Arabidopsis thaliana: one gene and its partners. The main gene of each other region encodes a partner of the protein of the gene in region 3 in a complex. Each region holds a gene or a part of one and is shown on either strand. Other genes may lie near its edges. The genes, in order: MED9, AT5G03500, MED32 and SFR6.

What was found.
Region 1: MED32 (region 3) and MED9 share a complex: the UniProt entries of both Arabidopsis thaliana proteins name them as parts of the mediator complex.
Region 2: MED32 (region 3) and AT5G03500 share a complex: the UniProt entries of both Arabidopsis thaliana proteins name them as parts of the mediator complex.
Region 4: MED32 (region 3) and SFR6 share a complex: the UniProt entries of both Arabidopsis thaliana proteins name them as parts of the mediator complex.

Annotation. Positions count from the first base shown.
Region 1 is NC_003070.9:20,550,472-20,557,715, forward strand, and holds MED9 (mediator of RNA polymerase II transcription subunit-like protein), read right to left. Parts: upstream 3,784-7,244; 5' UTR 3,704-3,783; coding exon 3,230-3,703; intron 3,161-3,229; coding exon 3,098-3,160; intron 3,013-3,097; coding exon 2,932-3,012; coding exon of another isoform or gene 2,853-2,931; coding exon 2,794-2,852; intron 2,708-2,793; coding exon 2,650-2,707; 3' UTR 2,434-2,649; downstream 1-2,433. Other genes in the region: AT1G55070 (F-box and associated interaction domains-containing protein), read left to right, coding at 981-2,162; AT1G55090 (carbon-nitrogen hydrolase family protein), read left to right, coding at 4,386-4,579, 4,741-5,046, 5,128-5,351, 5,450-5,553, 5,650-5,784, 5,859-6,027, 6,128-6,263, 6,368-6,506 and 3 more. UniProt on the Arabidopsis thaliana protein: Component of the Mediator complex, a coactivator involved in the regulated transcription of nearly all RNA polymerase II-dependent genes.
Region 2 is NC_003076.8:873,868-881,381, reverse strand, and holds AT5G03500 (Mediator complex, subunit Med7), read left to right. Parts: upstream 1-3,006; 5' UTR 3,007-3,608; coding exon 3,609-3,632; exon of another isoform or gene 3,633-3,715; coding exon 3,716-3,856; intron 3,857-3,938; coding exon 3,939-4,008; intron 4,009-4,181; coding exon 4,182-4,348; intron 4,349-4,437; coding exon 4,438-4,511; intron 4,512-4,648; coding exon 4,649-4,709; 3' UTR 4,710-4,942; downstream 4,943-7,514. Other genes in the region: AT5G03510 (C2H2-type zinc finger family protein), read right to left, coding at 151-1,029; AT5G03495 (RNA-binding (RRM/RBD/RNP motifs) family protein), read left to right, coding at 6,357-6,377, 6,532-6,584, 6,681-6,830, 6,898-7,059, 7,191-7,301, 7,395-7,514. UniProt on the Arabidopsis thaliana protein: Component of the Mediator complex, a coactivator involved in the regulated transcription of nearly all RNA polymerase II-dependent genes.
Region 3 is NC_003070.9:3,970,087-3,977,180, reverse strand, and holds MED32 (mediator of RNA polymerase II transcription subunit-like protein), read left to right. Parts: upstream 1-3,886; 5' UTR 3,887-3,939; intron 3,940-4,347; 5' UTR 4,348-4,369; coding exon 4,370-4,825; 3' UTR 4,826-5,195; downstream 5,196-7,094. Other genes in the region: AT1G11770 (FAD-binding Berberine family protein), read right to left, coding at 1-1,502; AT1G11765 (Plant self-incompatibility protein S1 family), read right to left, coding at 2,860-3,273; LEW1 (Undecaprenyl pyrophosphate synthetase family protein), read left to right, coding at 5,693-5,740, 5,898-6,168, 6,238-6,299, 6,430-6,625, 6,706-6,802, 6,891-6,973. UniProt on the Arabidopsis thaliana protein: Component of the Mediator complex, a coactivator involved in the regulated transcription of nearly all RNA polymerase II-dependent genes.
Region 4 is NC_003075.7:2,494,017-2,502,229, reverse strand, and holds the start of SFR6 (sensitive to freezing 6), read right to left. Parts: upstream 4,300-8,213; coding exon 3,962-4,299; intron 3,885-3,961; coding exon 3,816-3,884; intron 3,726-3,815; coding exon 3,637-3,725; intron 3,554-3,636; coding exon 3,441-3,553; intron 3,330-3,440; coding exon 3,228-3,329; intron 2,784-3,227; coding exon 2,693-2,783; intron 2,506-2,692; coding exon 1,909-2,505; intron 1,701-1,908; coding exon 1,082-1,700; intron 988-1,081; coding exon 908-987; intron 585-907; coding exon 502-584; intron 63-501; coding exon 1-62. Other genes in the region: NSF (AAA-type ATPase family protein), read left to right, coding at 6,564-6,739, 7,045-7,140, 7,221-7,302, 7,390-7,440. UniProt on the Arabidopsis thaliana protein: Component of the Mediator complex, a coactivator involved in the regulated transcription of nearly all RNA polymerase II-dependent genes.

The DNA of each region.
Region 1 (7,244 bases), about 17 Mb from region 3:
ACAAAGAAACTTTTGTCAATATTACTCTGTTTAGTGCTCAGTTGTGTATATTTTTCCTTATTTTTTTAGCTGTTAAGGGTTATTATTGCTTTCGATAAGCAGAGTGATCTTTTTGCACTTGCTCTCGCACATATATACAAGTGCTTCTCTTTATTTTATTTTTATCTAAAATAAGGTGTCAGGAACAAGAAACAAACCTCTTTACAAAACTGAAACATCAGAGCACTGTTTACTTTCCCTTCTACATACTAACAGGTTGTGATGCAGTTGGTTAGTCCACGGAAGACAACTTTCATGTTTGTCATATGAGATAAAACAGAGACGGGTATGTTCTTTCGAACCCCATTGTTGAGTCTAACGAGAATGGTTGATTTTTCCATGGTTACGATACTTTTTTCCGCCATCAAGCTTAATCCAAGGTTACACAACCAACAGAGTAAGCAGCAGTGTTTAACGTCTTCATCAAGCTATATCTTCAAGATAAACCGTTTCCAACAACACGAAAGATGACTAGAGAAAGCCAGCTGAGATGCGATATCAATCTTTAAATTCCATTCACCTCTCTTTTTGGTGTTGATCAGAAGGAATCAAATGTATATATTATTCATATACATATATGTATCTCGAGAACCGCTGGTTATGTTGCATGTGCCAAGAGTATAGAAAAAGTGGTCTTGTAGACAAAGATTTTGACTTTGTTTGATGCAGACAAAACATCGTGGTCTATTGTAATCTTCTTTCTAGGTGGTATAAACATGAAAAAGGACAGCTTCTGATGAGACAAGAGGAGGAAATTACGAAAGGAAGAGGTACAAAATCGATTCTCTTAAATTCCAGCGGACAAAACACAAAGCCTTAAAAGTATCTAGTGGACCTTAGTAAAAGCCCAAATGATGGAGCGTGCTTGATTGAGGCATAGTACATATGTCATCATAAGATGAAGATTTTGAAATCACCAAGCAGAGTCAAAATCTAGGGCAATGACAAAACGTAAGCAGCAGGATACAAAAGAAAACCTAACCCTAACCGTATTTGAATCCAATAAACGATGTTCAAACTCTGGAGGAGAATACTTTGATCGAATCCCTGCAGATTTGGTCATCAAAATCTTATCGAAATTGTCTGCAAAGTCTATGGCCAAGTGTCGTTGTGTATGTAAGCTCTTGTCGTCGATAATTCGACAACCAAATTATAACCAGTTGTTCCCGATCAAGTATCCCGATCCACCGAGGTTCATCTTCACCTTCTTAGGTGGAGGAATGTTATTTTCCTACACTTCAACACAGCCTGAAAATCCAGATGAGAATTCATCTCTTGTAGCCACTGCTCATCATCATACGGATATCCCTAGAGATTTCTCTCAAATCCTTAGCTCTGTCCACGGACTGGTCTGTTATCACCGTAAGATAAAAAATGACACAGTTTTTGTGATTTATAATCCCATCACAGGGCAGTACGTAACCTTACCCATATTGGAAGCACATGCGACAATAAACTATTTCGCCATCGGGTATGATCCAATCAACAAACGGTTCAAGGTATTGTGTGTAACCTCGGTGCATCATGGAACAGGGGAGGAGTTTGATAGTCAGCATCAAGTTCTCACATTCGAGACTGGAAGGAGAAATCTATTTTGGAGGAAGATCCAATGTCGCAGACATTATTATACCCACCGTTATCATAAGGGGATATGCATCAAAGGTGTTTTGTATTATGCAGCAACCTCTATGAAACCTATGTTGGGACCTATGATCGTTTGCTTTGACGTTAGGTCTGAGAAATTTGGTTTTATTACTTGGAAACCTCCCTCTCTGATAAACTACAAGGGTAAATTAGGTTCAATAAATAGTAATGATAACGATTTGGTGTTGTGGGTTTTAGAGCATGGCCAGGAACGTAAATGGTCAAAGCATATCTACGTAAAGCCCCTTCAATGGCCGGAGTTCAATGGAATTGATGTAAACTTTTTAGTTACTAGTAAAGGTGAAGCTGTATTCTGCCCAAATCACTATGATCCACAAGTTCCTTTTTACCTTTATTACTACAATCTCGAGGAGAACATTGTGGTAAGAGTAAGAGTTGAAGTTCCAGAATCTCAAGGTTCTAAACGGGTTTTGTTTCATGCTGTTCCAAACTATCTAGAGAATATGAAGCTTACGTGAGTGTTTTATTGGGTTTTTTTTTTACCTGTTTAAGACTATTATCATGATTTCAAAATAGTGAGTAGGGATAGATTAGAAGTCGGTGTTTTTATTTCTTTTTAAAAGACTAATAGATGTGGCTTCAATGGTGTTTTGTTTTATATTTGGAGGATCATTGTGGAATAATGGTTGAATTTTCCATGGTCGCTACAATGCTTTTTCTACTCTGTTCTGAATCTAAATCACAAAACCACTCACTATGTTCAACAACTACCTGGGCTTATATCGTTTTTGGGTTGAGCTTTCTGTTGCATGTCCCACATACAAAGATTTTGGTTTGGTTTGATGCAGACAAAACACATTATGCATTGTGATCTATTTGTAATCCGAAGAATGAATTTTCTTGAAGAAAACCACATTCTCTTTATTATGTGAATCAAGATTGGTTTATTGATAACAATTATTGGTCTTAAGTAGCTAAACAGTTGCTGAATCAAAATATGAGAAACTAATGCTCCATTGTCACAATCTCTTCAATAGATTTCCTATACTCCACAATCAAATCCCTGACCAGAAGACATTTAACAACAAAAGAGTAAGAGCACGATCACAATCTGATCAGATAAAACATGATACTAACAATCTAGCTAACCTTCTCTGTTGAAGCAATTGCTCACTTTCTTCAACATTTCTCTTTTGGCCATCAACAGTCTATAAAACACAGAGAGAGAGAGAGATCCATAAGAAACAAAAGATTAAACAGAACCAATACAGAGATCCAAAATGTTACCATAGTTTTAGATCCTAGTGATCCTGAAATCGAATTCAGCAACTGTTGACACTTGTCGAAATGGCTATTCAATTCATTCACCTGCAAATCCCACAATTTCAACATCATCCAATAAGAAACCCTAGAAATCTCAAAACCACTTTAAAAGACTTGATTTTTAACAAACCAGGGCGTCAGAATTCTGATCTCGTGTTCCATTTTCGATCACATCAGCTAATTTCTCCACCATCTGCGTCATTAACACGAAATTAGAACCCCCAACGATTCCAATTTCATCAATTTTCTTTGTTTCTCTTACCGGATAGAGATGGAAATGAGAAGCTAAAGACTGATGCTGTTGAGGAGTCTGCACCGGAGTTTGAACCAACTGTTGTTGTTGCTGCGGTGTATGCATCATAGATTGAGGCGTGTGAACCATCGTCTGTTGCGGCGGAGGTGATTGTAACGACTGTGGCTGAAGAGGAGGAGATTGTAACAACCGTTGTTGTTGTTGGAATTGCTGTTGTTGGATGAAGTGTTGCTGTTGTTGGAATTGCTGATATTGTTGCATCTCTTGTTGTTGTTGTGGCTGGAATTGTTGTTGTTGCTGCTGCGTCTGTTGTTGTTGTTGAAGATGAAACTGTTGTTGTTGTTGTTGTTGTTGTTGTTGTTGTAATTGTTGTTGCTGGAGGAATAGTTGCTGGTCATGATTCGTCGGTGTACCGAAGTTACCTTGCGCCTGCACGTTTGGGATCATCGACCAATTACCTCCTCCTCCTGAGAATTGATCCATTTTTTCTCCTTCCGATCTCGCTAATTCTCCTTCTCGTCGCCGTCGTCGTCTATTAAAACTTAAAAGAACGAAGAAGAGACAAAAGTGGGAACTTAAACGATGTCGTGTTTTGACCAAAAAAAAAAAAAAATGATGTCGTGTCATGATAAAACGAAGTTGTTCTCAGTTAAGGTTTTGTTTGTAATTTACAATCGTAAAACGCCGTCGTTTCAGTATCAATCTCTTCTTCTTCTTCTTCCTCTCAAACCGAATGTTCTTCTTGGTCGGTCACAATCTGTTCTGCACGAGCACTGCACAATCACTTGGAGTCTGTGAATTTCACATCTGAAAGAAATACAAACTCCCATAGTTTTCAATTTTCACGATCTCCGAATTTCACGACTTTGATACTTGGTTTCTTTGCACATTCACGTAAGCTCCAATTCTTCCTTCTCTTCTTTTGGCAATTGATTCACATCGAATAGTGTTGCGTTGACGAGTTCTTCGTTACAGATATTGTGTATTATGGCTGTTAAAATTGAATTTGAATTGTTAGTATTAGCAAAGTAATACAAAGTTTGTTCCTTTAACTAATTTAACCAGCTTCTGTTCTCATGAACAAGTTTGTGCCTTAGATAAGTCAGATTTTTTACACTACTTGATGTACAGTAAATTTACTTGTCTTTCTCTTTAGGCGACGAAGATGAGGCTGTTGAAGGTTGCTACGTGTAACTTGAACCAATGGGCCATGGATTTCGAGAGCAACATGAAGAACATCAAGGCTTCGATCGCTGAGGCAAAGGCTGCTGGTGCTGTTATCAGGCTTGGACCCGAGCTCGAGGTCACTGGCTATGGTTGCGAGGATCACTTCTTGGAACTCGACACTGTCACTCATGCGTAAGCTTCTATTTTTAGTTTTCTATTTCGATGATGAATGGCATGAATGACTTGGTACTATCACTTTAGATGATGGAATTAATTTCTTTTTCTTCTGAATTTAGTTATCGGAATCATGTTTAACCGTTTCTTCTTATGTTCATGTGAATATCTTCTTTCAGGTGGGAGTGTTTGAAGGAATTGCTGCTTGGTGATTGGACGGATGATATTTTGTGCAGCATAGGAATGCCTGTGATTAAAGGAGCAGAGCGTTATAACTGCCAGGTTCTCTGTATGAACAGAAGAATCATCATGATTCGACCGAAAATGTGGCTCGCAAACGATGGAAACTATAGGGAGCTACGGTGGTTCACAGCTTGGAAGCAGAGAGAAGAGCTAGAGGAATTTCAGCTCCCCATTGAAATTTCAGAGGCTTTGGAGCAGAAATCAGTCCCTTTTGGTTATGGTTACATCCAGTTTATCGACACGTGAGTTTGGATAAATGCTTCCATTTCAACACTGTCAATGATTTTGTCTGCTTAACTGTATCAGTTATATTTCCTTATCAGGGCTGTTGCAGCTGAAGTCTGTGAGGAACTGTTTAGTCCACTTCCTCCTCATGCCGAGCTCGCATTGAATGGTGTTGAAGTATTTATGAATGCAAGTGGGAGTCATCACCAACTTAGGAAACTAGATATTCGTCTGAATGCTTTTATGGGGGCTACTCATGCTCGTGGTGGGGTGTATATGTACAGTAATCAACAAGGATGCGATGGTAGCCGCTTATACTACGGTATGTTTGACAACCCTTAAAATTATTGAAAGTATCATTTTTGAGTAAATCATATCTACTTTTTTGAGTGAGATTTGTTCATTTGTAACCAAGTGCAGATGGATGTGCATGTATTGTTGTAAACGGGAATGTTGTTGCTCAAGGCTCACAATTCTCGTTGAGAGACGTTGAGGTCATCATTTCACAAGTGGATCTTGATGCGGTATCCCACAGTTACCCTTTGGCTTTACTTTCTTCTGTTTTGTGATATATAAATGAAAAGTTCTTAGGATCATCTTGCTTATTTGTCTTGAGAAAGGTTGCTAGCCTTCGTGGATCTATAAGTAGCTTTCAGGAACAAGCAAGCTGCAAGGTTAAAGTATCTTCAGTAGCTGTGCCCTGTAGACTTACACAGTCCTTCAACCTGAAAATGACACTAAGCAGTCCGAAGAAGGTTCTCCATCCTTGAGTATTTGATGTTAAGTTAACATCTAAAATTTTCCACTCTAATATACATTAGTAATGTAGATCATTTACCACTCTCCACAAGAAGAAATAGCCTTTGGTCCCGCTTGCTGGATGTGGGACTATTTGAGAAGAAGTGGCGCTTCAGGATTTTTGCTTCCTCTTTCTGGCGGAGCAGACAGCTCCTCCGTGGCAGCTATTGTTGGCTGCATGTGCCAACTTGTTGTTAAAGGTACACTGGCGCTTTTTTCTATGTATGTTGAACTGTGTTTTGTCTTGTTGAAATTTCATGATATTGAGTTCTCTCAGAGTATATTTTCTTTCTTGTTTAGAGATTGCAAAGGGAGATGAGCAAGTAAAAGCTGATGCGAACCGAATTGGGAATTATGCTAATGGGCAGTTTCCTACTGATAGCAAAGAGTTTGCCAAACGAATATTTTACACTGTCTTTATGGGTTCTGAAAACAGGTGAATTAGTTAATAAGAGCAAAGAGAATATGATTTTTCGTCACTGTGTGGATTTACAGCAGAGATGAAACTTTTTTCCCCATATTGAAATCTTAAATTTGCAGTTCTGAGGAGACAAAAAGGCGTTCAAAGCAGCTGGCAGACGAGATTGGTGCTTGGCATCTTGATGTTTGCATAGATGGTGTTGTCTCTGCAGTTTTATCATTATTTCAAACAGTTACAGGCAAGCGACCAAGGTATAAGGTAAAGTCTGAATATACATTACCTAGGCAAACTGTTAGAAAAAATGAAATATGATCATCTGGAGAAGAGAAGAAGAACTAAAATTGTGAAAATGGTTGTTGGTTTTGTTTATTAGGTTGATGGAGGATCAAATGCTGAGAACCTTGGGTTGCAGAACATTCAAGCCCGGATGAGAATGGTGTTAGCATTTATGTTAGCGTCTCTCTTGCCTTGGGTTCATAGCAAACCAGGCTTTTACCTTGTTCTAGGCAGCTCCAACGTTGATGAAGGACTTCGTGGTTACCTGACAAAGGTAATGGAGTAATCACTTTTTGGCTGCTACATCTCAAATTTCATAGATGGTTAAAAAATATTGTTCATTCTCTTGGTTGAAACAGTATGATTGCAGCTCAGCAGACATAAATCCTATAGGAAGTATCAGTAAAATGGATTTGAGGTTGTTCTTAAAATGGGCTGCAACGAATCTCGGATATCCATCCTTGGCAGAGATAGAAGCTGCTCCACCAACAGCTGAGCTTGAGCCCATTCGTTCTGACTATTCTCAGGTAATAACAAAAATATTTGAGACTCTATATAGTTATAAAGTCAACGAAGATGTCAGTTCAGATATCTTGAGTTTTGAAACAGCTCGATGAAGTCGACATGGGAATGACATATGAAGAGCTTTCAGTCTATGGAAGGATGAGGAAGATATTCCGTTGTGGACCAGTATCTATGTTCAAGGTTTGATTTTCTGAA
Region 2 (7,514 bases), on a different chromosome or scaffold from region 3:
TATGGAGCAATGAGTAGTTTCAAAGAATGAAATAATTTGAAGTTAATTCAATCAATGTCAGATTACAAGAATGAATGGACAATAATAAGAGAAGGGTTAATGATTTAACATATCAATGTAATAAAAAAGTAATTACAAAGAACTACTTAATTAGTGATGACAATCAATCAAAGAATTTGACGCGGCCGTGAAGAGAAGAATCTGATCTTTGGATGCAAACGCGAATTTCGGTTTCTCGCAGCATCGTTCATCTTCGGGTGCTGGAAGATTCAGATCTAACTGGAGAAAGTTCTTTGGCCGTATAGATTCTTCATGGTGATGATGACTTGATGATGATATCGCTGTTTTGATTGCTGAAGTAGCGTTTGCGTTTATTGTTAAACCTCTATGTCTCCTCATATGTCCTCCTAAGGCTTGTCCTGAAGAAAACTCGGCCTTGCAGATTGAACATTCATGTGTTTTCTCCGGTTTCTTGCTACCATCACTACTAGTCACTTGTAGGGAAAGAAAGCTTCCTACGGCTCCAGCTTCCACTGTTTCAACCGTAGACGCAGACGCCGTTTTCTTCTCGACGCATTTGAAAACGCTAGCTCCAAGTTTTGGCTTCTTGTGACTAGCCCTGTGCCCTCCTAGCGCTTGGAACGAATGGAAGCTTTTATCACACGTTTTGCACTGGTAAACACCGTCTAGCCCTAACCCTAGAGAAGCCACCGGTTTCTTGTTGCTAAAGAAACCCATTCTCTGCATCGACAAATGATCGTCGCTGCTCTTTGCTTGATGTCCTTGCGACAACAAGATCAGACAATTCGCCATATCTTCGTCTTCATCGGTAGCTCCTTGGAATTCTACTTCACCAGCAGCTTCTTCTTCTCTTACCTCCACTGATGATCGTTCACCGCTACAAACGCTGGATACTGCAGCAGCGTTCATCATAAGAGGAGACGCAGAACGCTGACGTTTGGTGCGTTTGCCCTTGATGAGGAGAACAAGACGCGCGTGGTCTCCACTCTCCTCAAGAACACTTGTCATGATCCTCCGTTTTTTATTTGCTCTCTGTATTTCAAGAACACAAGAGGTCGTATATGTATATATGGAGAGAAGTATCAAAGAGTGTTTGGTGGGTTTGGTTTATATGTCTAAGTATTTATATATATTTGTATGTGATTGTATTTGTTTATACACACAATAGTATTGTGTGTATATATAATGTAATGGGTAAGAGAAAAGATGAGAAAAGAAGCAAACCCAAAATAACTTTTGGTGAAGGATTCCTTTCTGGAAGTTTTGGTTTGCAAGCCTGGAACCACTTGTTGTTCTCTTCTTGTTTTTATTTTTTTCCTTTCAATTTTTTTTAAATGATTTTCTCTTTTTTTGGTTAACTTTTGTTTTGCTTGTCTTATGAATCACATAAAAAAAAATACTAGTATTTTACTTATTAAATACTCATAAGCATCCTTATAATTTCAAAAGACACACATCATTATAGCTAAAGTAACAAAAATGTGGATTCAATGTCAACACTAATCTTAGAAGATGTTATTTTATTTTCTTTCTGAAAATGAAATTAAATCTGTGTTTTCTGTTCAAGAAGGTGTCATTCTACATATACCATTTTTTCTTATTAATAAAATGAACTACAATTTTGACACTTGGAATGTAATGTATTATATTAAGAAGAATCAAACTGGATTGCGTATTCTAAATATGCCACTCAATTTATTGATTTTTTTTCCTTTGATTTCACATTATCACTAACTAAAATCCTAAAACTTTATAAATAATTTTATATTGATGGCTTGAGTCATCCACAAGTAGTTTCAACACGAAACACAGTACCACAACACACACAATTCAAGCATATTATAAATTCCTGCAAACTTATTACGTTTTGTAACAAATTACATTAAAGATTTGAAACCAACTATTATATATAAAAGCTACTAAAGTACAAATTTAACTTGAAAATACGTCGAATTCTGTTTTTGTTTCTTAATACTACTAATCATTGCGGATATATGTACACTTAAGTTGCTGATTAAATAATTAAGTTAATTAATTGGAAAGTAAAAGGCAATCGAATTTTGGGGTCGAGCAGTTCATGTGCAGTTGAGCCAACCCACAATTACACAACACACAATTATGAATCATGATTCTAGTTATGTATACAATATTTAGTTATAATGATATTAGCTAAAACGAATTAAATATATAATATCACTCCCTATGTTTGCGCCTCTTTCTAAGAAACTTTGATTTTTATTTTGGTTATCCAATTATTTGATCAAACCATTATTAATCTTGTGATTAGCTAATAATATGTATTCGATGAAGTAACCTCCCTTATCGTAGTTTGTAACTGTAGTCTAGGTCTTTGTAGTATAGTATACTAATAAACTCGGTGACAGCAATTTATAAAATTCAAGAAACACATGTTTTTTTAATATTCATTCTACATAATGAGTTTCTTAGAGCTGGATTGATATCCAACTTTTACTCATTCAACTCTATACACATTAGTTGTCTTTGGCTCTCAATGATTATCTTTTGCTAACGTGTTACTATACATACAATAGATCATTAAGAAGAATATTTTTGAGTGTATTGTGAAGCTAGTATCATCACAATTTTAAAATGAATAAATCAGGAGGAATTGATTTAAGTCTTGGCGTCGAGGATTGTGTGTGTGAAAGAGAGATAGAGAATTGCTTGGCCGCCAAAAGAAGCCATTACTTGCCAACTAGCTAGCTTCACTACTCAACCTAAGCAAAGCATATACTTTATAAATAAATAAATAAAATCATAAACATAATTAGTCGTCACCCATCATACATTCATCATCACCATCCTAACAAAACCTTTTTTACAAGGCTTCTCAAAAACCGTTAAGTAGTTGTTGCAACTTGCAAGGATCACCTAAACAAATTATACCGAAACTTGCACAATTGAATTCCAATATTTTAAAAACATTTTTCTTTTGTCATTTGAAGCATATAAAATGGTTCTGAATTCTGATATAGGTGGGTGGAACAGAGTCTTCCCCCATATAGCAAATCCCTCAACGGCTCTAGAAATACGTTTTAAGCTTCACGAGGAATAAGAAGATTAGGAATATATGGGCTTAAAGCAGGCCTGAACTAAATTAAAGGCCCAACTAAAAGAGAGGAAACAAATCTCGATTTGCTTTCTCTGGTGAGCGTGTCTTCTTCCGATCGTCTTCTCCGGCTGCGTGAATTCTCCGCCGAGCCATCTCTCTGGCGAATCTCCAGTGAGTTCTATTATTTTCACTCTGTCTTTTATGCTTCCCGTGAAAGGGATTTTTTTATTTCTCTCCCTCAGATTCTCCTTGTCGCCACCAACTCATTCGTCTCCCTACCCATTTGTGGCCACTGGATTTTTTGTATTGACCTTTCTTTTTTCCTCATGAATCAATTGAAATCTACTGTTAAGCATTTGACGATTTTGGACAAATTGGTGGTGATTTAGGAATAACACGGTTGTGGTGGTGGCGGCTACTTCAACGTGACGATGACAGATTAGTTTCTAGTGATGACAGATTAGTTTCTAGTGGTCGCAGAGTTATTTGGTAGTGATGACATAGTTGTATTCTAATGAGAACAGATTGTTTTATGGCGGTAGACGGATTTGTTTTTGATTAGAAACCCTAATTTTAGGAATCTGTTACTGATTTTGCTTAGTTTTTGATTTGGATATGTAGAGAATAATGGCTACAGCTACATATCCACCTCCTCCTCCATATTACAGACTCTACAAGGATTTCTCAGAAAACACTGATTCTGCTCCTGAACCTCCTCCTCCGATTGAAGGCACCTACGTCTGTTTTGGAGGCAACTATACTGTGAGTCTCCTCCACATTTCCCCCTCTTTAAAATCTTCATCTTTATGTGTTTTTAGCAATTTTCAATTTTTTTGGTTAGTAGACTGAAGATGTTCTTCCAAGCTTAGAAGAACAAGGAGTGCCTCAACTTTATCCAAAAGATTCTAATCTTGGTATGTCATTCTCCTAACTCTGTGAAATCAAACTCAAAATGCAATTGCTATTGGCTGTCTAGAGTATGGTTTTTGGTTCTTCCCTTCATTGGAATCAAACTTATTACATGAGTTCATTTGCAAGTTATGTTCTTTGAAAGTACCTCTTTGAGTTCAAATATCTTTGTGTGTAGATTACAAGAAGGAACTCAGGTCACTGAATAGAGAACTACAGTTACATATATTGGAGCTTGCTGATGTTCTTGTTGACAGACCTTCTCAATATGCGAAGAGAATTGGTGAAATTTCTTCAATCTTCAAGAACTTGCATCACCTTCTCAATTCCTTGAGGCCTCACCAAGTAAAGAAGCTCTCATCTTTCGATTAATTACAACATGGTTTCAACACTTTTTGTTTTTTCATCGTTTTGATCTTTCTCTTGTTGTATAGGCGAGAGCAACGCTTATTCACATTATGGAACTTCAAATTCAACAGAGGAAACAAGCTGTGGAAGACATTAAGAGGTTTGTATATGCTACTTAAGTTTTCTGTCTTTATGGTGTGTTAATAATTTAATATCAATCTATCATCTGTTTAAAGATTCTTCAGAAGCTTTGTTGGTTGTTCTTATGGGTCCGTTTGATGTTTTGGTTGTGTGCAGGAGGAGAGAAGAAGCACAAGGACTTCTTAAGGATGCTTTCGTCACTTTAGATGGTCAATAAAGTATACTTTTTGTTAATCCCATTTTGTGTAAATTAGCGCTAATAACCTATGCCCTCGAAACTTTTTTTAATTGATCCTGTGTGTGTGAGAGAGAGAGACAGACGTGTGCAATCTCATGATTCAACAAGTAAAGCCTATATCATCTTTATTCAATGTTACCCGTGAACCGGCATTTAGTTCCGCCGGTTAGTGCGGTTCAACATTTATTATTACAATTTCGGCTTAACGGGAACTATTATAACCATAACGGATTCATAAGAAGATTAGACCAATATGGGCTTAACGCAGGGCTAAACTAAATTGAAGACCCGACAGTTTGTTCGTAACTACACGTAAGTATCTGAACAACAACAACAGCTTTATAAGGGAATCAACAAAAAATAGTTGAACAAAAAAAAATTAACCTTGTTCAAAGCTAAATCCTGTCAAATATCTTTGGAACCCTAGCAGTCGGTCTTGTCAATTTATCATCAGCATGGACGAATCCGCCATCAAAGTAATCTTCTTCTCCTTATGGACTCTCCTCTTACTCACTCTATTTCTCTTCACAAGAGGATGGAGATGAAGATTAAGATGGATATGGACAGGAGAAAGAGGATGGAGATGGAGAATTAGGAGGGAGATGGAGAATTAGGAGGAGACGAACCTCTTTGTTTTTTTATAATGTATTTACCTTTGTTTGTTTTTGTCTTTGCATGTTAAAAGTAAGTAAGCTCAGTAATCATCACCTGCCTTGATCATGTATGATATGTCATTCTCTGGATGTTAGAAAAAAACAGTAGTAAGCTTAATCTATTAACGTTATCTGCTTTCGGTATTACAATGCAACCTTGTTTTCTAATTTTTAACAAAAATGGATCCAAAGCTATCTTTGAAGGTGATTTTAAACAAGTCATTCAGTTGGTCAACGGGAAGAGTCTTAATTTTGGATTCGGGAAGCAAAAGCCTGGCGACATCGGTTTGAAGATATCCAGTTTGTTTGGACTCCAAGATCAAACAATAGTCATTTTATTATCATTTTTATGCTCCACAATTTATTATTGATGCGCTACATTACCAAGTACTACAAGCTTCAACTTATAAAAAAAGAAGAAGATTAGAACCATATGGGCTTAAACGTAGGCCAGAACTAAATTCAAGGCCCAACAGTTTGTTCGTAACTCATACACACGAAATGTCCCAAACCAGAATAAAATTAGGGAATTAACGAAACAAAAAAGACAAAGAAACCTAGTTCAGAACTAAATCCCTAGATCATAGCAGTCGTTCTTGTCAATTTATAACTGATATAGGAATAAGAAAGAGGGTTAAATGGACACGTGGAGGGTGGAGATTAGAAGTTGGTTTAATGGCTGAGATTGTTTGGATGCTAACAGAAGAGAAAAGAAGCGTTAAAAGGAAGCGAAGAGGAAAAATAATCATTCATGAGATTTGTGTTGAATTGTTATCTTCTTCTTCTTCATTTGTCCTCTGTTTCTCTGAGAGTTCTATTTGAATTCTCATAGCTATTTCTTCATTGTGATAGAGCTGTTTCTACTTCTAAGCTTTATCACATGAGATTTGGATTCTCGTTTTATGAACGACGATTCAATGTGTGTTTGTGATTGGATTAATTGAGAAATTGTGGTTTCTCTGTATCAATAACCATGGACGAATCCGCCATCAAAGTAATCTTCTTCCCCTTATGGATTTTCTTCTTACTCACTCTTTGCTTAACCTCTGTTTCTCTATTAATGTTGTTTTCTTTCTCCACAAGTAAGAAGAAAAATATATCAAGTACGCGTAGTAGAATCTCTGATTAGATCTTTTGTTGTACCTTAGGGTATGAAATTGCTGCAATTGAACGAGATTGGTGCAAACTCTCGAAAGCCCCGGTAAATATATTATCTTGGGAATTTTATTTTGGTGGTACGTGCTGAATGATCATATAATAATATTAACTCTCCACCTGCAATCAAAATTGTTGCTAGTATCCCTTGGACGAAGATTTCCGTGGAGGGATATGACACTAGGCTCCGTGAGTATACAGTCAAGCTCGTGTTGGAAAAACATTTCGCTTCATGCGGAAAGATCACACATATTTATGTTCCCAGAGACTTTGAAAGGGGTATCCTCAAGAGGTACCGTACTTTGTGGCTTCGATTTTCCCCAAAAAAATATATAAACTTTGTATCCTTGGTTTTACAGTGTCGCCTTCATGTGTATCAAAGGAGAAGGTGGCGAAGAAAAGGCATTGCTGCTTAGTGGAACTGACGCGGGAGGATGGACTGCAATCGTTAAGCCTGCACTCTGGCAGAAAGAAATCATGGATCCTTGGCTTCCTGGCATGCCCAAACTTGAAACACACAGGTAAATTCTGATAATACTACCTGATCCTTGCAATCAAATTTTTATTAGTTTAGATTCTTGTGTATCTGTAAGACACTTGGCTTGTCATTTTAATTATATTCCTCATCTCCTGCAATCAAATTATTATTTAGGGTCCGCGTTACGGGATATGACACTTGTGTTCCTAAGATTGATATCCAGATGGCCTTGTGTGAACATTTCTCTTCATGTGGAGAGGTCACGCAAGTTGTGGTTCTGCCTAGGTTTGTCGCTTCTTTCTTCCTCCAATTTGTCCCAGCTCTCAAGTTGTTGACTCTAACTAATTAAAGACTCTTTGTTTCTGTTGAATTCGGCAGCGGTTCAGGTTCCATTTATCTTCAAGGAGAAAGATGTGAGGACAAGGCGCTTCAACTAAATGGATGTAAAATGGGAGGAATGAATCTTGTAGTTGAATCTGTTTTGATAGAACCCGAAGA
Region 3 (7,094 bases):
CCGAAATACATCCTCCCGAAAACCTCTGCTACTCTGTAACTGTTTGGGCCAGGGGTATTAACTCCAATATCCAGATCCCTGTAATTGATATAAGTGTGTCTAGGGTTCTTGGTCACAAAAGGAGCCATGTAGCTATAAAAGCTTTTCGCCTTCTGCAAGAAACTGGTTTCCGCTTCGGTTCCCGGATCTTTCCAGTTCATCGAATGCTGGATTTTGTAAAGCTTCTTCCTATGTGGGAATGGTGTCTTCGTTGTAGCCACCGTACTCATTATCCCTCCGTAAGGATTAAACACTAACCCTATCTTCCCAACTTCAATCATTTTCTTGAACAAGAAATCTAAACCATCTTTAGTGATCTCTTTCTCAACGAAATCAGATTTCCTTTTCCCGAAAGTCGCCATATCAGGGTTTCGGTCCAGTAGAATCTCCGGTTTAATCTGCGTAGCGTTATCGTTGTTTGCCCACCACATCACCGACTGTATCCAAGTCATCTCCGTGCAGTTCTCCTTCTTCAAACCAAGCTCCGGGAATTCTTTGGTTAGCATAGACATAACAGTGTTTTGGTCCCCCAAGAAGAGAGCCACAACCGATGCTCGAACCGTTTGCATTTTATTCCTAGTCACCGGCTGCAACAATAGCCTCATGAATAGACCTGGATCGGTCTTGGGTGCAACAAATTGCCATTTATGAACCATTTCAGTAGCATTTTCGACTAAGTTTTTCTCTACTCTGAAAACGGTTACGGTCGGTGGAACAGGGACGAGTTTGATCTTGAAAGCTAGGATAACACCGAAGCTAGCACCGCCTCCACCGTTAATGGCCCAAAACATGTCTTCTCCCATTCCTTTCCGATCAAGAACCTGTCCATTAACATCAACGATTTTGGCGTCGGTGACGTAATCAACGGAGAGTCCGTATTTTCGGATCATGTTTCCGTAGCCACCACCGCTAATGTGACCTCCGGCTCCAACCGTGGGACAAACTCCGGCGGGGAATCCATGACTTTTGGTTTTTTCCCAAATCCTGTAGTAAACTTCACCGAGTGTTGCACCGGCACCGACCCATGCAGACTCTGTGGCGGGGTCGACGGTGATGTTACGGAGATTTGACATGTCGAGGACGAAGAAAGGAACGTGAGAGATGTAGGAAACACCTTCGTAGTCATGACCACCGCTTCGAGTTTTCAGTTGGATGTTTAGCGATTTCGTGCAGATGACGGCAGCTTGGACGTGACTCTCGGAACGCGCCGCGATTACGATCGCGGGTTTCGGAGTCGCTGTGGTGTTGAAACGCGCGTTACGGATGTAAGCGCGTAAGACGGGGGTGAAAGCGGCAGCGGTTTTTGGTAAAACGACGTCGGCTAATGAGTTAGGAGGAGCTTTTGTTTGGTTTGTGAAACATTGGAGAAAGTTTTGGTAGATTGTTTCAGGCGGAGGTTCGACGGCAAGAGAAGTAGAGATGAAGGAGGAGATTAAGAAGAGAATTAAACAAAAGATCTTCATTTTTTTTTTTTTGATTGGATTCTATTTGGTGTTTTCTGTAGTATAAATAGTTACATGTAGTCTTTAAATTTCTGTTGTGATTCTTATCGTTGGCCATTTTTAGGATTTGTTGTATTGGTCAAGGTTTCTCCTGTTTTTTTTTTTTTTAATGGTTTAATTGCTCAAGATTTTAATATAGTCAAGTTAACTATAGAAAGATCACAAGTTTCAGAAGTCAAGTTAACTTTAGAGATTTTAATATAGTCAAGTTAACTATAGAAAGAACACAATTTGTTTGAAGGCATTGTGAGAAAGATAAATTTTTAGAGGTATTGGATTAGGTTGTTTTGGGAAGAGAATAACATGTCTTTCAACCTTTATCTTCCTTTTTTTTGAGGGATCAGTTATTTTTGTTTTCATATTAGAACTTGAGATATTAATGTTCTATAAAACGGTGAATAAAAGACCAAAAATGTTTTATACTACAAAACAAAATTATTTTTGATTCAATCTAGAGAATGAAAAAAAAGAGTTACGACCATGACAAGTTATTTGTTATTCAAAATAAATTTTGTTGAAAATAATTTAATGTTCAGAATATTTGTTCTAAAATACATTTAGAATAACAAATCTTGAAGCGATTTTACACTTCGTTCTAATGACATTAACAAACTGAAAAGATATACAAATATAACGTTTAGCAATCTTTTTACAAAAACATAAGGTTATACTTTTCAGCTAATAAGAGTAGAAGTTATTGTAATGATTTGAGAACAACATGTATTTTCGTGATGCTACTAAATTAATATGTTTTGAGAGTTTATGAATTTTGAGAGTAGTGTTGTTATATGGGATCTGAAGCATCCAACATAGCGAAACATCATTCGTTCCATTTTTTTCGGTGGCATTCTTTCGAATTTGCGTCGAGTGTCACTTTTCTATCTACATAAACCAAAATTCTAGGCACTGAATGTCAAAAAAAAAAAAAAAAAAATCTAGGCACTATAATAAATGCAAGGAGGATGTATAGCTGATATATGATCTTACAAACAAAAACACTTCGAACAAAGGCGAGAACAAGTAATTAAGCAATGTCAAGAGCTTGTGGCGCAAACGTAATGTTTTTTTAATAATGGCATGTTATTTTTTGTTCTTGACGAATTCCTTAAATTGACATGAGGATAACATGCACATAAACAAATTGTCCTTCTTTGAATCATTCTGAAACTTCTCCCTTACACTTTTCTTTGAATGTAAAGAGTGATTCTTACATGAAAACAAAGAGTAATAATAATACTTTACAACTATATCAAATCAAAGATTTGAATAAGCATTTTATAAATATTGGATAAACATAGGAGAGTTTTATCCAACATCCCTAATTCCAATCATACATCTTCCGCATACGGTGTATCAAAGTACTGTGATAGATCCCATCTTCTTGAGCAACATAATTATACGAGCCACCATGAGGCATTCTCTTGTCTTGAACATATGCGTCAAACTTCTTTTGTACCTTGTAATCAGCTCCTTTATACATTGTACACCAGAAAAGTGTTTCTCCCATAACGTCATCGTGGAAACTAAAACCCCAATCTTCTCCAGGTTTCATATATCTTTCACGAACATCATTGTCCCCAGATTTACAACGTACCTTGAGCCATTTGTTGTGAGAAAGACTGTTCCTGAATAACAACGACGTCTTTTTTCCTTTAAATGGATTCGAATGGCCATATGCATTGCTAATCATGCATAGGGCAAAGACAACTAGAAAGATTGAAGTATTTTTCATTTTTTCTTTCTAGATGCTTAGAGGTTTTGTCATCGGAGTAATTTTTTATTTACGGTATTGTATATATAGACATATATGTATGCTATTTTTGAATTTACGTTCTTATTATATATTGCTCTCTTATTATTAGTATTTTCTATTAATGATTTGCGGTATCAAATCGTTTCAAACACAACAATAGATATGGATGGTTGAGTGGAGAACAATATATGGATTTAGATCTTTGAGTAAATATTTCCAAAGAACATTTGTTTTCAACACGGACAGTAATTTGACGTGATACATTTACCAAATACTACCTATTATATTCTGCCAATTCGTTACAAACAGATAAATAATTCGATTAGTATATACATATCTATCGTTTAATTGTGATAACTTTATTATTATATTAACACTAAAGTTGATTAAAATCGTCTTGATTTCGATTAGATGTTTTATTTTATAACATTAAACACACATATTTAAAAGATGAGAAATTAAATTGTATGTATATGGAATTTTAACATTAAAAAAAAAATCCAAATGACCAATCCGGTTTATGTCGGTCCGGTTTGTATTAACCAATCTTAATTTCAATTTTTACCATATAAACCTAACCAGACTATTACAATGAAGAAGAAGAAGAAAGAAAGTGACACAAATCGGACTCTCCGTTCATCGCCGGTAAGTTTCTCCTCTTTATCTCCGGCGGTTTTGGGCTGATTTTTTTAGATTCTGTCTAAAACTGCTCTAATGATTCAATTCCTTCACGAGTTTACGGATTCTATGCCGTGAATTTGAACCCTAGGTTTGCGAAAGCAATCGCGAGTTTTGCAATTTCGTTAAATTTCTGTCTCAAAGATGTAATCTTTTTGATCATTTAGCTTCCATTGCTACCGTAGCATCTTATTCTTTCCCTGAGGTTTTGAGTTCTCTCATTCTATGTGTAGCGTTAACGAGAACGAATTAAGATTTTTTGAGGTTTTTAGGGTTTCTTATTTCCAGATACTTTTGCTGGGATCTTACTTGATTCCTTTTGCAGTTTTTTCTTGTTTAACTTGAAATCTCATGATTGATACTTGGTTTGAGCAGTTATTTGAAGGGGAGGGATCAAATGGATAACATTGTGGACTCATTGAACAAAGCTTATGAGAAGTTTGTTCTTGCTTCAGCTGGTGTTCTTGAGTCTAAAGAGAGTGCAGGTGGACAAAAAGCTTTGCTCACTGATACTGCGTTGGAGAATTTCAAGGAGAAATGGGAACTGTTCCGTGTGGCTTGTGATCAAGCAGAGGAGTTTGTGGAGTCAGTTAAGCAGAGAATTGGATCTGAGTGTTTAGTTGATGAGGCTACTGGTTTAACTACTACTGCAGCAGGTGGCCAAGCACCAGCAGCGGTGACTGGTGCTGCGACTAGTCTCCCTCCCATTAGTGCAGTAAGGCTTGAACAGATGAGTAGAGCGGTTCGATGGCTTGTTCTTGAGCTGCAACGTGGCTCTGGTGTAGCTCCTGGTTCTGTTCATTCATCCTCTACCGGGTTTGATTCTAGATTCTCTGAAGACTCGACTCAATAGCGTGCCTAGTTAGTGTTAAGTTCGACAACCGCAGCTCCATAACTCTCGAGTCAGTCGTTGTGATGGGAAGAGTGGCCTAATCAGTGTTATGTTCTGTTATTTCATGGGATTGAGCCAAGCTAGAAGCAACACTGGGGGTATCATTTAGGACTTATGACTCTTACTAAATATTGGGCTTTTTATTCTGAATCTCAAGTAAAGAAGCTGTTCTTTTTTTGTGTGATTCTTCATATGTTATTATGTTTCTGTTGTTTCAAAAAGAATACTAATTTTGATCTTGTACATGATGTGTTTTTGGTTTTGTATTAACCATGATTATCAAGAGTTTAAAAATGTAAACGAACTAGTATAATTTTGAGTTTTGATTACCTCACGTTCACAGCAAAATCGTGATAAACGTAACAAAAACATGAACACTCACAACAAAACCGTGACAAGAAAAGTTAGAAACACACTTAAGACTTAAGTTATAGGGTTTGAACCCGAGACGTCTCACACTCCTCTCAGATAACAGAGTTAGTTTCGCAAACTAGAGTGATTTTTTGCTAAGGTTTAAGCAAACGAATCGCCAAAACCAGGATACAGAGGCTAATAAGATCATCTTCAAAAGTGTCTCACTTTTTCTAACCTCGCCTCCAAAGATTCTTCCTTTTCCGATTCCGATGAAAAGGAATTTTGGGTTTTAGGAAAGTTCGATTGGTTGGTTTGGAAACATCTCCCTAACACACGCAGCAAACACCTTCGTTGTTTACGGAGACAGTCACTTTTTGTGTACGTCTCTCTTCTCTTTGTTAATTCTGATTTCTGACAACCCTTTTGTTCAAATTTCTTCTGATTCTGTTGTGTGTTTTCTGATTTTTCAGATATATGGATTCGAATCAATCGATGCGGCTCCTCAGTGCTTGGATTGGTCAAGTGAGATTTTTTTTTGTATTCCTTGATCATTGACAGGCTTTAGCTCATTAATGCTTCAACAAGGCCTATGGAATTAAGTGTTTAAGAACAATTTGGTGTTGCCAATTTGAGTCTTCAAGCCATAACTTTGTTTCTGTTGAATTTTTGTATTCCACAGATTGGTGATCTTGGTCTTAATTTGCTATGGCGTTTTATACACATTGTTGTGAGCTTATGGTACATTGTCTCTGGCATATTTGAGGCAATAGAAAGCTATGCCATAACGTTAGGATTGAATAAAAAGTACGGTTCCATCGATCTTGAGAAACTCCGGTGTCTAGCTGTTGTAGTGGACATCGAAGCAGCTCAAGATGTTGCCAATGTTGTTGAGCTTTTGCAATGGCTAACCACCATTGGGGTTAAACAAGTTGGTCTATTTGACTCTCAAGGTACATGCTTTAGCTACTTATCTCGTTTTTTCACGTTCATTAAATGATTGCTGATGTTGGCTTCTTTAGGTTTATTGAAGAAATCCAAGGATTTGATCCTTGAAACCGTTCCAGGTTCCATGTTGTTAGAGGTATATTAATCTCATACCTTTCATTTAGTTTGCTGCTTTACTTGTGAATCAAATCTTTAGCTTATGTTGTTAGTTATGTAGCTCATGATATAAACTTTACCTTGTCAATGTTTTTGTTTTTCTTTCCCAGGAGATTGAAAAGGATGTTGCGCCTGACGGAAAGCGCATTGCATTAGAATTCATTTCATCTTCAGACAATAAAGAAGCTGTTATGAAAGCAGCCAACATACTTCTTCAGAGATACTTGAAATCCAGCCATCCTGAGGACGACAAAGGGGAAGACTTTTTTACAGAGTCTCATTTGAATGACGCATTAAGAGTTGTTGGTTTGTGTTGACTCTCTCATATTGGATTCAAGTCATTATTAAGTTTATTTCCAAGAATCTGATCATCAATACTATGGCAGGTGAGAATGTGCATGTACCCGATCTGTTACTGGTTTATGGACCTATAAGGAGCCACCTCGGTTTCCCTGCTTGGAGACTTCGATACACTGAGATAGTGTACGTGCTTTTAACTCTTTTTCTCTTATATCTTTAGAGCTAAATCTCATAGAGTTTGTCTTTTTTCTCGGTATTTGTTTGTTGATAGACATATGGGAACTTTGAAGTATATGAGATATGGTTCCCTTTTGAAGGCAATTCACAAGTTCACAGGAGTCCACCAAAACTATGGTAAGTCTCTCATCTCCCACTACTTTATATGCTCTTCTCACACACACAGTTTAGATACTAAAGTTTCTACCTCTGAGCTGGACTGAGTCACCTTTTTGCCTTTTGAGTCTCAAATCTTTAC
Region 4 (8,213 bases), on a different chromosome or scaffold from region 3:
ATGGCACGAACCTCTTGAGCATTGGTTCCTTCAAGTAACCGACATTTGATCCTATCTAGGTTCTGTAAACCATAAAAATACAAGTTCTTTACCAAAAAGCGCAACCAACCAAAAAGGAAAAAAGCAAAAAAAACACGAAGAATCTCAAGGGGGCAATAGACTGCCAAGATTTTGTTCAGCGTCTTAGAATCAGTCAATCAGATGCATTGTATATTGGCTACTCAAATAATCTAAAGTCAGATGAAGTTTGTTCCTTTTTTCTTTCTTTTTTTAAATTAGAGAAAGCTACACTATCTTATAGTCCGATAAAAGAACAACACAAAATAGGTTCTGCATGCTCATGGAATAGAGAAGCTTTACATTATAAAACCAGAAAAAAAAATATATATATATATATAAATATTTTGCAAAGACATAATAAACGGTACCGCAACGCAAACAGTTCAGACATTTAAAAAGGAAAAAGATAATGAGTTGGATTCGGGTTGAGTAAAAACATACAGGGCCATATTGTTGTCTGTGCTGTGTTGAAGGAAGGGAGTGAAAATCAGCATCCATGACAGCAATCACGCTGTTCAATGAAACTGTAATCATAAAAAGAAATACATCATCCAATGCTTTAAGCAGTATATTATTCAAACAATACAATATAATATTTGAACCACTATCATTCAAAGTTTCTATCATTCAAACCTTAGTATAAAAGCAAAATAGAAAAACAGAGAAAAGGTTCTTTGAATGACACTCAGCCTTTAAAAACTAGAACTTATTCCCAAACTAAAATACAAACTGTCATATTTCTAAGCAAAACTAATTCCAGTGGTTGTTCCACAACTAAAGACCCAAAAAAATCCAACTGCAGATATTAAATAACACTTAAATCAAGAAACTTAGCACTAAAGTATACCTATCCCATCCTCTGCAGCACTCTGTGTGCAGCCAACTGCATCCCACCAATCAACTCCGACCAAAAGACTCCACCAGAATCTGTTAAGAAAGAATGCAGATTCATATCTCAAGTCACAATATAAGTTCCTTTGCAAGCAGACAAGCTAGAAAATATATACCAGAGATTACATACCTCTCAGCGATCGCCCGCTCCCATGTTGATTGATCAACCTTTGATTGGTTACGCGGAAGAGCAGGAGGAAGAACACGGATGATTTTCAACATTGCGCAGTCCTTAGCAGCATCATGCCATACAGAAGCCGAACAACAGCTTGTTGGTGAAAATGCGGGTGCAGCAATTGCAGATCCAACATTTATTTGATAGTTTTCAACAGGTGAAAAAGTTGGACCAGAAAAGATATGAACTCCACCACGAAGAAAAGCAATCGCAATTTCACCACCATGAGCAGAATAGACAATCCGTGCAAGTGTCCGAATATCACTTGGCAAATCAAAAGGATCAAATACAACCTTGTTAGCCTTCTCATCACCAGAATCAGGCTCCTTTGGTGCATCCACACTTGGTCCTGCTGCAGCTACTTGATGATTCTTAAAATCTTTAGTAGGTGGTATGCTCATATCCACTCTGGATACCCAGACAGTTTGCGTGGGGACCTGTCCTCCAAAATTTGAAGTTGGGTTTCCAAATATCTGATGCAGTACAACAGGTTGAACACTTGATTCCCAGCGCTGTACTCTCCAGCCTGTGATTGAAGGACCTTCATCTGGATCATACGGAGACATGTACTGCCCTGCAGACACAAACAATTAGCATTTATTTTAAACAATAGATTGAAGCTGTTGCGCTTCATCACTCAAACAAAATTAGCATTTTCTCATCTGGCAGCTCTTCAATATATGAGCATTTCTAAATGATTGACCAAAAACTAAACGTAAACCTGAAAATGTTTATTCAATCATGGAAACAGTATGAGGTTCCGAGAAGGATGAGAACAGTACCTTCAACTATAACAACTGCTATCACTGAACCACCACGAGTTGGATCAAAAGCAACAGCGGTAACACCAGATCCCCATGTTGTGGTTGCTGCAGACTGAGCTGCAGCCTCTGGACTTACATAAGCAGAAAAATTGGAAACCGGTGAGCAACTTAGCGATATAGCATCACTGGAATCTTGATCTGAGGGCTTCTTCCCTTGCTTTATCTCGGATATTAAGTATTCTTGCCAGCTAAACAAGTACGCAGCTAAAGGAGCAAAACCTGTCCAAGAAGAAGAACTAAGGGATGGTGGCACACGACTGCCTGTAGAGATTTTTGGAGTCGCCTGGAGTCCATTTCCAGGGCCAGGGGTCACCTCCCATACTACAATTGTTGAAGGGTTTACAATTGGAACTCCTGCTACATGCATGGCACCACTGTCTGTTATAATAGCATCAGCAGCCATAATTCCACTTGGCCCTGCACCTAAAAGACCTTTCTTTGTACTAAACCACTTTGGTGCAGTGCTTCCCTGGTTAGAAGGCCACTGGGACCAATGAATTTGAACAGAGCCGGATGAGAAAACAGAGCATACACAGAGAAAGTTGGGCCACCGAGCTGCAACAAATGGTAGAGAATCAGAACCGTCACATAAAGTGGAGGAAAATGCACTAACGTCAGAACATGTTGTATTGATCTTGTCACATATATTTGGATGTCAAAGGAACTGACATAATTAAAATTAAGTGCATAATTCTGAATATATCATCAAAAAATGAGTCACAAGAGGCACGCAGAAGAAAACCTGAGCTTTCAGAGCTCTGCGAGAGAAATTTCTCCTCGAAAGTTGACTTTGCATTTGTACCAGAACTTGGCTTGGAGGACAACCACCTATACTGATTATCAATAAAAAGAAAACATAGAGGATAAATTTCCTAGGATAAAACTAGAGCAGCAAACTAGGTGGCCAGAAACAACATGATATTAAGTCCTTCAGAACATGTTCTTTGCAATGGCATTATTATCTATCTGTTACTCATTTCCTTATGTGTTCATGCCGATCATTAAAGAAATGCATCTAAGAAACGCAAATTGGAAGATCTTTTAGGAGTCTAGTAATTTTGCAAACAGAGAGTTGGGATTTCCAGGACGTTGTGTTTTCTCCATCTCATTTCCTCCAAAACGTAGAGACATTTCCAGTTCAATTACTCACGATTTAGTAATCCCAGTGCCCACTCTCACATGCAAGCCCTCCATTACTAATTTAACGAACTCATTAAGGGACAAATATGCTGTGCATTTGATAGAATGGCAAATAAGCAAAACATAAGATTACATACTGGGGAAGCCCCTGTCAGCCACTTTGTAACAACAGCAATGTCCTGACGCCATTCATGCTCACACTGCCAGGAGGTAGCGTCGTGCACTAAATTAGCCGAACCCTGCAAAACCAATCCACAAAAAAAAAATCATCTGAGGGTGTCATAAAACATCTTGACACAGAAGACAAAGAAGAAATATAAAGGTAAATCCCAGTGATCAGGAGCACAAACCTGAGTAGGCTGCGTCCAGATAGTTATACGTCCATGAAAATTAGCAATGAGTAACGCACGAGGACAAGAAGTGGGAGACCATTCGATAAATTGGACAGAATCACGAGGAGAGTCTACATATAAAAAATTGCATCATAATCGTTTATCACCCACTAGATCAACCGAGTTCATAAATAATTAACTGATATCAAAATACCTGCCACAACATTAAACACCGCACACTCAGTAGGGCGCTCAGGTATCAAGATATGTATTGGTATCCAAAAAGGTGTATTTGCCTTGGAGCTGCAAGAGATGAGAACAGAGAAAGATGAAAATTGAGAAATTCATCACTGCCCATACATTCAAGACATAGAAAAGTAACAAAAACCATACCTTGGAATCCTGGCACAGGTCTCGGAAGCACAAGCAATAGCATTCAATTTGCCACACCACGCAACAGCACTAACACAAAGAAAAGGAGAAAACTTTACAGGAATTGATGAAATTTAAAGATTTTCCGATGGGAGAGAGAGTCAAACCTGAAGTTACGGCACAATTCAGGAACACTCATCTTATGAAGCAAATTGGAATTGGGCTGCTTAAGCTTAACACAGAAAACTGTAGCCGGACTCACAGGATCAATCTCCATGTTACTACTACTACTATTATCGTCTTCTTTCTCTCCGTCTACTGATTTCTCTAACAATTTCTCCTCAACGACGACGAGAATCGGATCGGTAGACTCAATAGTCTCTTCCTGCTTCTGCTGTAATCCTTCTTCCTCTTTCTCCTCCACTATAGCTGGAGCTTCGATGATTCCTCCACCACCGCTATTATTAACCAAAGAAACTTCTTCTTCTGGGTTTTGCTGATTCATGTCAACGAAAGCAAACAAAACCCTAAATTTATAGAAAAATCGGAGAAAAGAGGGCAAGTGTGACAAAAAGTCGCGATTGAAGGCGACAGAAAGCACTGTGCGTTGAGAGAGAGAGAAAGTGTCAAAGTGAGAAACTGTTAAGTGGGGTTAACGAGACGACTTAGTGCGGGGAAAATTCCAAAATCCCCACAAAATCAAAATCGAACAAAAAATGCAATTTTGATTTTAGGGTTTGGTGGAGTCACAGTCTCGTCGCCGGGATGCAGAAAAAAAATCTCGGTGAAAGTGATGCAAAAACGCCGTCGTGTCTGGTCACTTTCTCTCTAAATTTTTTTCCCCTCTTTTTGTAATTTTTTACTTTTTCTTTTAAGAGCAAAAAATGAAGAAGTAAATTTTAAATGATAGTTTTGAATCTTTTGATTAAGGAAAATGATCATAATTTCATTTTTTCTTCTAATTTACCATCTTCAAATTCAAATTTGTAAACATGGAAAGGTACTAACTTAATTTGACATTTGGCATTTGAGGATCCTTGTTTGACATTAGTTTTTTTTTTTTTTTGCTAAATTTGTTAATATCATTACAATGAGAGTTCAGAAAATACAAGAACGTACAACCTATAGAAAAGTAACCAAGGCAAAAAAAATAAAAACAAGGCTACAATAGAATTAGAAAAGATTTAGGTGTGTTTAACGAATCCATAAAAGCATTAGCCGCTGCCAACGCTTGCGATGTCGTCGAGAAGTGATTAGGTTGCGAAGCTCACGATCCACCAATTTGAAGATGATAAGAGGTGCCACGCGAGTAGAGTTGTGCAAAATATTAGGCTTAGGCATTAGTTCATTTGCCTCCTCCCAAATCAAAAGTTAGGCTTAGGCATAAGTGTTTCCCATGGTTGTTGTATCTCCCTCAATGTAGCACGACCAAGAATGAGAATCACTTATTGCTTACACCAAATTCTTTGAGTTACATGCATAGCGTACTGAAAACTAGTTGTTTCGGCTTCTAACTAGATACAAGCAGAGCCATCCATGAGCACAAACGGGTCAAGCTCATGCTTGCGGCTTCAATTAATATAAAGGGAATTTAATGAAAAAAAACCTCAACTTTGGCCAGATCCATTTTTAAACCCTAAACTATGTTTTTAGTAAAACAAACCCTGAACTAAAACCTGTTAATAAACTTAACCCTAAACGTTGTTTAATTACTGTGGGGTTAAGTTTATTAACAGGTTTTAGTTCAGGGTTTGTTTTACTAAAAACATAGTTTAGGGTTTAAAAATGGATCTGGCCAAAGTTGAGGGTTTTTTTCATTAAATTCCCTAATATAAATAAAACTTTTGCCTCATTTTCTTATAACTTTCAGTAGAAAAGTTGGTTATTTGCTTATAAGATTACATTAGAGAGTCAAAAGTTTGAGTTCATCTTCATCTTCATTTGCCTTTTTATTTATTTTTTCATTTTCACTCATTAAACTAGAACCAAAAAAAAATTCCTTCTTTCAATCTATTAAATACTAGGGATGGATATGTCTTTGCACCATACCCTTTTAACCACCTTCTCATATCTAAGAATGCACCAAATTTCAAACTTATTCATTCCATGTTTACAACATTACTTATAAGTTTACTTGAGCTAGTTGTTCAATTTAAAAATCTCCCTATGTGAAGGTTGTTTTGCCTCATCTTCCTTCTCATTGTGTTTATTCCATTCATTAGCATCCATCATCTATCATTGCTCTGTGACAGTCCAAGATCTTTTGAGCTTTTATGTGTTGACCTTCTAGTTTCACATAATTGATCATCGATTGAAGTTTTGAACTATTTGTTGAAAAATAAATAAATGTGGTTAATCCGAACTCAAATTGAATTGTGAGGATGTGTCTCATGCATGACTTGCTCAAAATAATCAGTGAGCAAGTATTCTAAAATTTAGACTGAAAAAAAAAAAAAAAAATAAGAAAAGAACAACAAAAAAAATGAATTATGATTTGTGTTGCAAACCGGATTCTAATACCGAGCCGAGAGGGTATGACCAGATTTAATTTACCGCTTTTTGGTTTAATTCAGACGGCTATTGGTCGAACCGGAATGTTTGGTCTGGTTTCCAAAACATTGATCAGGACTCGAAAAATAAAAGATCTTATTAAAATCAAGGAAGCAATCGTAGTCTTCTGTTTATTGCTTCTCCCTCAAATATTTTCTTATTCGTTAAGGTTACAAAAATCAAAAAGACTCGAAGAAACCTGAGATCGAAACCCCAGCCATGGCGGGTCGTTACGGATCGCAAGTCATGACGATGACTGTGACCAATACTCCGTCCGCAGATCTAGCTTTTACTAACCTCGCTTACTGCTCTTCTTCCGATCTCCGTCAATTCTCCGTTCCCGGTTCCGATCTCTTCCTCGCCAACGTTGCCGATAGCTTCATTCTTTCTCTCTGATATCCTTTCTTATTTCCATTTTACGATTCATTTCTTACATTGCAATGCGAAATGCGATCCTAGGAGTTGATTGTTTATGTGATATGGCTAATTACTGCTAAATTTACCAAAATCGATCTTCGAATTTGAATCTCGGCCTTATGAATGGTTCTTATAATGATTGATTGATCTATGATCGTAGTACAAGTTAGGTTTTTCTGGTTTTCATGGATTATAGAAATCTAGGCTCCTTTGGTCGGTGACAATGTTGAACTTGTTCATTGTGTCATTTATTTCGATTTTTGTGAACTTAACTGGTGATTACTGGACATGGAAGCATCCGTGATGGAAATATTGCTCTCAATGCTATTCAAAGGCGACACGCTAGAGTTTCGACTGGTGATATGGTATCTGTTAGCAGGTGATTATACAGCTTGTTTTTATATTAATTTTCTGGCATGAATACGTTTTTGGTTTCTGAATATTGTCTTGTTCTTGCAGATTTGTTCCTCCTGAAAATTTTGATCTGGCTATGCTGACGCTGGAGTTGGAATTTGTGAAGAAAGGAACTAAAAGCGAGCAGGTTTGTTTGATGTCTATGATGTGTTTCTTGAGATATTTGTAGGCTTTGTGATTGAACTCAACTTCTCTGTACAATATTACTTTACAGGTTGATGCTGCTCTCCTTTCGACCCAGCTTAAGAGGAAATACACCAACCAGGTAGAGATATTCTTGTTCTGCTGTCTCTGTTATTGTTAGATGTTTGGTTTTCAAAGATACATGCATCTCGTGCTGTGGTTTAAGCATGCATCTGAGAGGCAAAATGAGAGTACTGTGGTTTCTAAACAGATAAGGCACGCATTGGTTTCCATTTGTTTTATATGGGAAATGGAAACTATACGAGCTAATCTGTTTTATATAGTTTCCATTTGTAGCAATGTGTACATGGATCTTGTCATTTACCTTATTTTTCTGCTGAAGCATTGGTTTTCAGTGAATGCATTTGGTGACCATTCTGCAAATCCTGTAATATTATGCTTACAGATATTTACTCATGTATTTCTTGATTATGTGGTATCACTTATATGGTTATTTGGCCTTTAGATCCTCACAAAATCGTATTAGTCTAATTTATTGAACCAATGTTACATGTTTGGTTTCTGAAGATATACATGTCTTGTGCTGTGGTTTAAGCATGCATCTGAGAGGCAAAACGAGAGAACTGTGATTTCTAAACAGATAAGGTCTAAATAAAACAGATTAGCTGGTATAGTTTCCATTTGTAGCAATGTGTACATGGATCTTGTCATTTACCTTATTTTTCTGCTGAACCATTGGTTTTTATTGAATGCATTTGGTTGACCATTCTGCAAATCTTATAATATTCTGCTTACAGTTATATTTACTCATTTATTTCATATGTGGTATCACTTATATGGTTATTTGGCCTTTAGATCCTCACAAAATCATAGTAGCCTAATTTATTGAACCAA